Linked DNA regions of Drosophila melanogaster. The protein of the gene in region 1 interacts with the protein of each later gene in a pairwise test. Each region holds a gene or a part of one and is shown in the gene's direction. Other genes may lie near its edges.

Evidence for each region.
Region 2: the proteins of RhoGEF4 (region 1) and CG4853 interact in a two-hybrid assay, tested with the Drosophila melanogaster proteins (one large-scale study listed by BioGRID).

The regions. Positions count from the first base shown.
Region 1 is NT_037436.4:7,320,511-7,325,247, reverse strand, and holds RhoGEF4 (Rho guanine nucleotide exchange factor 4), read left to right. Parts: upstream 1-1,836; 5' UTR 1,837-1,937; coding exon 1,938-2,070; intron 2,071-2,100; exon of another isoform or gene 2,101-2,135; coding exon 2,136-2,693; intron 2,694-2,750; coding exon 2,751-3,304; intron 3,305-3,363; coding exon 3,364-4,062; 3' UTR 4,063-4,149; downstream 4,150-4,737. Other genes in the region: Rint1 (RAD50 interactor 1), read right to left, coding at 1-158, 213-438, 497-1,324, 1,380-1,520; CG8607 (uncharacterized protein), read right to left, coding at 4,152-4,737.
Region 2 is NT_033778.4:17,512,393-17,517,945, forward strand, and holds CG4853 (uncharacterized protein), read left to right. Parts: upstream 1-1,824; 5' UTR 1,825-2,024; exon of another isoform or gene 2,025-2,187; 5' UTR 2,188-2,345; coding exon 2,346-3,137; intron 3,138-3,192; coding exon 3,193-3,930; intron 3,931-3,992; coding exon 3,993-4,136; intron 4,137-4,192; coding exon 4,193-4,398; intron 4,399-4,462; coding exon 4,463-4,712; 3' UTR 4,713-5,053; downstream 5,054-5,553. Other genes in the region: CtsK2 (cathepsin K2), read left to right, coding at 1-323, 384-592, 658-1,363; APC10 (anaphase promoting complex subunit 10), read right to left, coding at 5,071-5,519.

The DNA.
Region 1 (4,737 bases):
TTGAATCAGACCATAGTAACGATCCTTAATGGCGTCCAGCAGTCGCATAAACTGATCCGCACACTTGGGTATTTTCAGATCGTTCTCGAATGAGTTGGGATCGATTAGCTGGAATGGCGTCTCCGCCTGCAGAATGTCATCCATTTTTTCCGCACAAACTAGGTAAGCACATTATTAAATAACAGCAATCGAGGGCAGCGACCATATCTCACATCGTTCTTCCAGTGAAATCCAGCGTAGCAAATACATGGGTTGTGTGATTACAGAAATCGCGCTGGGAAAACTAGCCGGATACCCAAATGTTTCCCGTAACTCGGATTCGAAGGCCAGCGTCTCATCAAGTAGATGGGCAAATAGTATCTGGTCCTGGGCAATCTGTTCTATGTCCACCGCCAACTTTTCAATGGCTAACTGCACCAGTCCTCGAATAAACTCCAGCTAAAAGAGTAACACAATTAGAATTTTGAGTGGTCTGGTAAGACACCGAGACACTTACCCTGAGATTGTAGTCCAGCTTACCCGCTTTAATGGCAGCTGGCTGAAATGTTTTGCCTACAAAGAAATGCGTCTCCTTGCCCCAGTTGAGAATTTGCGTATAGAACCACTCGGGCTTGTCTAATCTATTGGTTTGTCTGGTGCCTGTGAAGTGAAATTGGAAACGCTGGCGATACGGCGCCAATAGGAGCTGCACCACCCGGTTGATGGGCTGGCACACGATGCTGGGCGTGATGCTTTGCAGTGGCGCCCGCTCTTCGGCTGGAGATTTGATGAGGAACATGTACTCCGCTAGCAGTTGCGCCTTGGCAGTGTCTCGTGCGGACGAATAGTTAAGGGCCTGCTGTTCTAGATGCGCCCAGCGCATGCTCTTCAGTACAGCCTCGAATGCGCTGGACAGGCGCTTGAGGAGCAGCTTGTGCCAGTAGATGGCAGTGCGTTCGGCAAAGGATTTCAGCGACTGTGCCTGCACAGCATGCAGGCGACCCACTACGCTGTGCTCGCAGTCGTTGCCCTCGTAGAGGGTTAGGTAGATATTAACCAGTTTGTCCTCGTCCTTGCCATTGATGGCATTGCCTAGGGCAGCGCTTATCTCCTGAATGTCCTGCACCAGGAGCAGATACTGTTGCAAACGCTGCAGTTGTCGCACCTTGTCTAAATCCTCTGCCACTCCCTCAAGCACGGGCTGGCACTCCTTTAGCTTTCTTTTCAGCTTGTCCTCGAAGTGAGCCAGCTTTTCCAGCTCGAAGTCGATGCTCTCGCAAACCTGTTGCTGGCATTGGAAGGCGGTTTTGTAGCAGGACACGTTCTGGGGATCCTCGTAGTCGAGCTGTTGAAATATATGGATCAAAATCATGATCTAGATAGATAGATATTCGTCCAACCGTTTGGGACAAAACTTGGAGGTGCTTTTTGTAGTGGCTAACGAGGTGGCTGGCCCGGTGTAGCTGGCTGGCATCCTTTCCGATCTCCTCGTTTAGTCGCGCCACTATGCGCAACTCCATTTCGCTGAGTTCTGCATGCATTTCGGTGCAGCAATAGCTAAAACAACATTTAAATTAAAAGCTAAACGGGCCACGAACCACGTATAAAAAATAAATAATTTAGCCAGTGTGACCATGTCGCAATACAATAGGCTAGACTGGTGCAACGCATACGCGGGCACAAAAGTTTTAAATGAAATTAATTTAATATTACAATTTTTATAAGATCTATAATAACCACAGCCAAGATGAATAGAAAGCTACAAAAATAGACAAGATTATATTATAGTTTGCTTAACTTTTTCTTATTCTTCAATCTCCCCTCGCCAATGCGGTCTTACACTTTCCAGTGTGGCTGCCACTAACAAACGGTAACACTGCAGAAGCGGCATTGTTCAAATTGAACAGGTGTGGCGTCGTTTTCTTTTTGGATCTTCTTTCCAGAAAGTCGATTGGAAAATGTTTACGCCCAGGCAGAAAGGATACGGGAATGGCTTCATTCACTCGCCACAAACACCTCTCAGCTTCAGCCGGGAACTGCGGCAGGTGCTGCAGGAGCGGAATCTTCTAACTGCCAAGTCGCGTAGGAAAGGTGAGCAGCACACAAAGGCGGCGCCAGGTGTTCAACAACTAATTGTGACCATTCGGTTCATGCAGTTTGCTCCATGCTGGACAGCAACAACAGCAGTCCGATTGGCTCCCCCAATCCGGACGCGGGAAAAAGATTGGGTTTCCGTCGCCAGGCCATCCAGGAGATTATTTCGTCGGAGAAATCGTATCTGGAGCAGCTGGAGCTGCTGATGAACTTTTTTGTGCGTCCCTTGAAGGAACAGGCTATCATCGATTGCTCCAATCACACGCTGCTCTTCGGTCAAATCGAGATGATTCACAATCTTAACGGAGAATTCCTGCGCGAACTGGAGGCGAACATGGAGAATGTTGCGCACGCATTCCTGAAAATGGCTCCTTTCTTCAAACTGTACTCGGTGTACGCCTTTGACTACCGCGGAGCTCTGTTCATCATCCAGGATTTGATCAGCAAGAATCCGGTGTTCCGAAAGTTTCTGGAGCAGACCGAGAGTCGTCCGGAGGTGCAACGCAAGCTAAATTCGCTGATGATTGTGCCCATCCAGCGGGTACCGCGGTATAAGCTTCTTCTGGAGCAGGTACTGCTCTACACGAGTCCCGCAGATGCTGACTATAAGTTGTTGAAAGGTATGATCTTGAAGTTAATGTTAATCAGATATCGAATAATTGCGCTCATCCTTACAGAATCCGTCAAGGAGATCGAGGCCACCGCCAGTCACATAAACACCTGTGTGGAGGAGCAGGAAATTACCCAGTATCTGATTCATTTGCAGAACTCTTTGGTGAATCGCACACCGAACATTGTGAAGCCCTCGCGACGGGTAATCAAGGAGGGTGTACTGCAGAAGATCACTCACAAGGGCACGGAAATCAAGCGCTACTGTGTTCTCATGTCCGACATCTTCATGTACTGCAAGATGATCAAGGAACGTGCGCCCAACACCGTTGTGGAAAACTCACTGGAGTGTTGCTGTATTTTTCCGTTGAAAAAATGCAAAGTGTACGAAATGCTGCCGGGCAACTTTAAGCTTACTTGCCAAAGTGATGGCATAATCTTCGGTAGCGGCGATGTGCAGCTGTCGCGCACTTGGGTGGGCTTCATCCGCGATGCCATCGATCTGCACGTTCAGTGCCGAAAGACACTGCGAAAGGACTCGAGCAAAAGAACGCCCATACGCAAGAAGGACATGAAGAAGTTCGGAGCTGATTATGTACTGAGTCCCAATAAGCGCAAATGCGTAAGTACCAAACAGTCACATTTACAAGATAAACATTCATGTTTCTAAATAATCTATAGGAATATGATACGGTTTTCCGCAATAAGAATCGCAGCACGGATTCCGAAGAGGAGACCGAGGACAGTGCTTGCTTTTCTCGAAAGCGAAAAGTGGCCAGTGGAATTTTAAGGGCTCCAAATGGAAATCCAATGGGAAAGGCCTCCTCCTCCTCCTCCTCCTCTGTTTCCATGAAACGTGTTGCACCACCACCACCAGCTCCTCCACCGCCTCCGGCAGTGCAGATGCGCCACCAGCCGGGAAGGCCTGGAGAGCTGGCCACCGCCAGCAAGGAGAACCGCATCTCAAAGTTGTACAAAAAGATTGCTGCCGGTGACAAGGTGGCCAATGTACGCGGCATCCTCAAACGCAGCAATGTACCGGCGCCTAACAATGATCACGATCCAAGCTACGGCTTTGCCAGTCGCTACTCCGATTCCAAATCGTATTTCAGGGCCCACAATGTGGACAACACCATACCAACATTTGTAAAGCGAGAGGATCTGTTCAACGGGGACAATATGTTCCCTGTGCATTTAAAGAGTCATGAGGAGATCTGCACGCCGCCGCAGAAAAAGCGCGTCAAGTTCGACGACACCTTGGATGCAGTGTCTCCGGTTTTGGTCGAGAAGCCTTTTGCTTTCTCCAGCGAGTCGTCCTCCGCCCTAAAACCCACATCTTTGCGTGAGCGGATTTATGATTTCTTTGCTAATCTATTCTAGAACTAGATGACATCAAACTAAATCGTATACAAACATATATCATCGTTTACAACATTTATACACATCAATAAATCCATTAACAATTATAATCATTTCGAGTGTCGCAGTTGGCAAATCTTTTGCATGAATTCATCCACAGCTGGTTCACTGATCTCTTCCAGCCAGTTGCCATTTCGCTTAAAATGCGACCCAATTATCACTGCGTGCGCATCTTTGTAGTAACTGTCGATATTATCCCTGGTCACCCCAGAGCCAATTATCAGGGGAACCTTAACCCTGCCGGATAGCTGCTGCAGATCTTCGGGACTGGCTGCATGACCCGTCGCTGTACCCGTAATGATGATACCATCGGTCATGAAGAACTCTGCCGCATGGGCCGTTTCCAAGAGACTGACATCGGCGGTTATGGCATGTGAGCTGTGCTTCTTCTTCAGATCCGTGAAGATGAGCACATCCTCGGCATCGATGAGCTTCCGGTAGCGCAGCAAATCGCCCGCACAGGCATCCGTGAAACCCTCATCCGCCACGTGGCCAAAGACGAATCCCTCAGCGCGTATAAACTGCAGCTGACTGGCTTTGGCAATGGCCAGTGCTTGTTTATTGCCGCAGGCGAGCACTTGGACACCACACGGAATCTCCTGGGGGATCACCTCGCGCACCGCCCGTCCCAGCCGA
Region 2 (5,553 bases), on another chromosome or scaffold:
CGCCGTTTCACCCTTCGACTACAAAACCAGTCGGAACTAATAGTTTCGTCTTTTGGCAGATCAGTATGAAGCTTCTGTTGGTTCTTCCACTTCTGGTGGCTGTGGTCTCTGGCCAGGGATTCGGAGGCGGTGGATTTGGAGGCGGATTTGGAGGTGGACTCGGAGGCGGATTTGGAGGTGGACTCGGAGGCTTGGGCAACAATCGAGTGGGTGGAGCTTTACAAAATGTGGCCGGCGCCGTTCAGAATGCCGTGGGCAACATTGCCAAGGCTGTGCCCAAGGTGCCGCTGCTCTCAAACGTCCAGGACTTTGGTGACTTCTTGGTGAGATAGGCAGCATTGATCAATTTCAAAGGTAGAAGTAAAACTTCAACCGATTTGCAGAGCCAATCTGGAAAGACCTATCTCTCCGCCGCTGATCGCGCTCTTCATGAAGGTGCCTTCGCTTCCACCAAGAACCTGGTGGAAGCCGGAAACGCAGCCTTTGCCCAAGGAGTGCACACCTTCAAGCAGGCCGTGAACGCCTTCGCCGATCTGACCCACTCTGAGTTCCTTAGTCAATTGACCGGTCTGAAGAGAAGTCCGGAGGCTAAGTAAGTGCTAACAAACCATTTGCACAGCCGGCATAGGATTTTATCAATTCTATATCTGCACCCAGGGCTCGAGCTGCTGCCAGTTTGAAGTTGGTCAACCTGCCTGCGAAGCCCATCCCGGATGCCTTCGATTGGCGCGAGCATGGCGGTGTCACACCAGTCAAATTCCAGGGTACCTGTGGCTCCTGTTGGGCCTTTGCCACCACTGGTGCCATTGAGGGACACACCTTCCGCAAGACCGGCAGCCTGCCCAATCTCTCTGAGCAGAATCTGGTCGACTGTGGTCCGGTGGAGGACTTTGGCCTGAATGGCTGCGATGGTGGCTTCCAGGAGGCCGCATTCTGTTTCATCGATGAGGTGCAAAAGGGTGTGTCCCAGGAGGGGGCCTATCCCTACATTGACAACAAGGGCACGTGCAAGTACGATGGCAGCAAGTCCGGAGCCACCCTCCAGGGATTCGCCGCTATTCCGCCCAAGGACGAGGAGCAGCTGAAGAAGGTGGTGGCCACTCTGGGACCAGTTGCCTGTTCGGTGAATGGTTTGGAGACTCTTAAGAACTACGCCGGTGGCATCTATAACGACGATGAGTGCAACAAGGGCGAGCCGAACCACTCCATTCTGGTCGTCGGTTACGGATCGGAGAAAGGACAGGATTACTGGATCGTCAAGAACTCCTGGGACGACACCTGGGGCGAAAAGGGCTACTTCCGCCTGCCTCGCGGCAAAAACTACTGCTTCATTGCTGAGGAGTGCTCCTATCCCGTGGTTTAAGCGGGGAATCCGAAATTTATGGCAAAATTTACTGTGCAGTTTGTGATGTGGACTTGGCGTTGGTTGCGTCCATTTCTTAAATAAAAGTCTTTTCTTAATTATAATGCTGCTAAATTAGAGTAGTTAAACGAAAGTAATGCAATGCATTGCTTTGCTTAAATATTTACAGATAACAAATTAAAGAGGAATAAACAAGAATCTTTTGGAAATTTAAAACTATTCACGGGTTAATTGGGCACTAAACGAACTTTAGAGGAGTTCAGCAATTTGATGTGAACAATAACCAGACCTTTATGTCCAAACAAGAAGATCTAGATATTCGGGTAAATTAAAAAAATGTTTGGGGATAGTAACGGAAATAACGCTTGACATTTTAAAACCTGTTAAAAGCGTTGCCAGATGCGGATATTTACAGCAAGAAAGCAAGTAATCGATGATTTCCCCAGTTGGGGATATCGATTATTGCCAAATTTGTGTAAACATCGATGGTATCGCTGTACCGAGACAACAATAATAGAAATAAATTAAGTCAATTGGCGAATTAAACTATATTAGGCGCAGAAAAAACGGCGGACATTTGATGAGCAGCAGGCGGGGAATGCCGTGACGAAAGGCGGCAGTGCGTCCGATGGAAGGCCACCGCGCAACAGTGTTCCTGCAGGTGTGTCTGCTCCGGAAGCGATGTTCTGATCAGAAGAGACCAGCCCACTTTTGGGAAAGTGGGCGTTGTCACCAGAGCGCACGAAACCAAAGCCCCCGGCCACCTGTCTTTCTCCCACTGTGTGTGTGCTAATCGAGGTTTCCCCTTGCCCCTTCCTTTCCAGAAATGTACGCGATAGTGGTGCATGTGCATTGCGACTAATCCAAAGAGTCCCCCTGTGGTCATAACGCATTTAACAACCATCGCAGCCAAATAGTCACGTTTCTCCAGAGATCCCCGTGTGTCTGCACTTTCCCCATCCCCGATAACCCCGCCCCAAGCATGGACGAAGATATCCTAAACGCTGTGGAGTCCCTGTTCGGCAAGGATGTCAAGATCGTGGACTGCGAAACCTCATCCTCGCTGCAGCAGGAGGAGGTGTTGCTGGTCAACGGAGTGCCGGTGAAGCTGGATGGGCTGCCGGCGGATGATGCCAGTGCCATAAAGGCAGCTTTGCTGGAGGGGCAGATGCCATCGGTTGAGCACCTGAATCAATTGCTCTTCCGCGCCGGATTGGCCCAACAGCCCATCGAGGTAGAGACCTCGTTGACCGTCAAGTCCTCTCTGACCACCACGGAGGAGGTGCTGGTCTCGCGCAACGGACAAATCCTAGACGAACGCACCGTGGAGACCAAGGAAAACTTTAACCATCAGTCGCACCAGAAAGAGATCTGGCATCCTGTCAAGCAGCAGTCGGCCTTGGCGCGTGCCACTCCCGAGAATGCCCTCAAATACCGAACCACTTCGAATTCCACGTTCGCATCGCAGGCCACAGACTCGGACGAGCGTCCAGTTGATCCTTTGGGCCGGCAGCTGAACCAAACCTTCTCGAATGCTTCCCTTATGTCCAGCAGCTCTGCTATTACTGGATCCGATCAGGTCATCGGATCTGTATCATCCACCACTATTGGGGACAAAAGCTCGAATATAAGCAGCTGCGACTCCGGGCACGATGGCCTCTTCCACAGCGTGTCGATGAGTGCACCCTGGTCACATCCACGTGACACCTTAACCGACTCTTTGTACTGCGACATTCCCAGCTCCGCAGATGAGTCGGATGCGGTTTCTATCCTAGTAAGTTTGAACGGATTTGCCAGTCGCTAAATAACTAATAATTTACCTAAATTAGAACACCCACTTGAAGATCACAGAGCCATTCGATTGCCAAACAGCGCCAGTTTACGCCAAAGACATACCCAAGAAGGGCAACCTGGATTCGGTGGTCAACCTGCTTATCAATAATAATACTAAGGATTTGCGGTTTGCCTTTCTGACCACTTCCCGCTTGTTTTCACCACCACACCAGCTGCTTTCCAAAATCATTGCCAAGATTGATAATGAGGAGGAAAACGTGTTACGACTTTTGAACGAATGGCTAGACACCTGTCCCGGGGACTTTAGCCATGAACTGCTATTGCAGGAGCTGGAAAATAAGCGTAATGTAAAAGGATTGGCAGCTTTTTTGGATGGAATTCCCCAAGCTTTGGCGCAAAAGGACGAAAATGGACGAAGTCAACTAAATAACCTGCTTACCAAGCAATCGTCGGCCAGCTCGTTGGGACGTCAGAGCAGTATTAAGTCGCTGAAACGCTTTGCCGCCAATGTCTACAAAACAGACAATGTGCTAAACAACTGCAGCAGTGCCTTCGAGTTGGCTCACCAACTTTATGCCATCGAGTACGCCTATCTGTCACAAATACGTCTTGAGGAGTTTGTGGAAATCCTCGAAAAGGATGAGCTGAAGACCTGCATAAGCCAAACCAAGGCGGGCACCTTGGGTTCGAATTGCATCAGCCAGGTGACAATCGACAGTTACGTGCAGTGGTTCAACCAGCTAAGCTACTTGACTGCAACGGAAATATTAAAGGTGAGTACTAAAAAAAAAATTAACCATTAATCAAATAAAAAATATGATTCGTTCGTTCCTAGTTGGGCAAAAAGTCCCAGAGAGCACAAATGATCGACTTCTGGGTGGAAACAGCTCTGGAATGCTTTAACACAGGCAACTTCAACAGCTTGATGGCCATTCTAACAGCATTGAATCTTACTGCCATAGCTCGCCTAAAGAAAACGGTGAGTTTTCGTTAAGTAAAACGAGTGAAGTCTGATTTTACTACTATTTTTTATAGTGGGCCAAAGTGCAGACGACAAAGTTCGAGGGTTTGGAGCATCAAATGGATCCCAGTTCGAACTTTCTTAACTACAGATCCACCATGAAGGCAGCTGTTTGGCGTTCGGAAAGGGAAATGGCCAACGAAATTGAGCGTGCCATCATCCCATTCTTCTCGCTGTTCCTCAAAGATTTGCATGCCATTAACGAGAGCCATGAAACAAAGTGAGTTTGTTTGTGCATAAATGAGCTCTGTTTCGAGATTAACCGAATTCAAATCCGTTTGCAGATTGGCCAACGGATACATAAACTTTGAGAAGTGCCTTCATTTGGGCACCCAGCTGCGGAATTTTGGCAAATGGCAGCGATTGGACTGTCCATACGAGCAGTTGCCTAGTGTGGTGTCCTACCTGTTGAAGGCGGAGGTGCTGAGCGAGGATCTTTTGATGAAGGCCTCCTACGAAAGCGAGCCACCCGAGACCGGCGAGGAGAAGGATCACTACAAGACGTTGAAAGCTGCAAGGAAATCGAACACATAATCACCAATCATTAACGACAATCCTCGAGATAGTGCAATACAATACAAAACGATGCAATAATTCTCGCACTCTTTCGTTGGCGTTCCATTTTCACATTTTGCATTTGTATCGCGATAAAACAGTAACAATAATAACTCTTACACTTCCACTGTGTTTGTTAATTTGTACTTAAGCTTAGACGACGGTATATATTTATTTGCATTCGAATTATATATATACAAGTGACGGGCATTTAATTAGAAACACCAAAAATATGCATAAAATTACTAAAGTAATGTTTTAAATGTTGTATTTTAGCAGTTATATACCCCGAAAAATACATAAAAATAAAAGACTTCGATAAATCCCAAAGTTTTCCCTAACGAATGGTGGCGAACTTCTGAAAGTCGACCGTTCCAAACTTGCCAAACAGTTCCAGAGGATAGTGCTTGCCCTCGACGGGCGCATGGATGCGGATCTGGCGCATGTGGGTGTCCCTGCCATTCTGGTGGTTCGAGATCACAGCAATCTGAAGCATGAAGGTGCGTATGGACTTGACGTTCCCATCCTTAATGGGTATCTGCACCCAGCCGGTGGGTTCGGTCAGGTCCATCACCTGCAGCTCCTGCAAGTCGTTGAAGTTCGTTCCAGATCGTATGGAGATCCTTGATGGCGTGTAACTCTCGTCCAGCTTGTAATCCGTGTATATGTAAATCTGACTGATGTTCGTACGCTTGTGGAATTGAATGTTGACCAGGTGGGGAAGCTGACCGTCCGACTGCCAATAAGTATCCATGATGTTGTCTCGCAAACGCTCTACACCAAATCCTGAAGGCCAAAGAAAATTGTAGAATATGTAAGG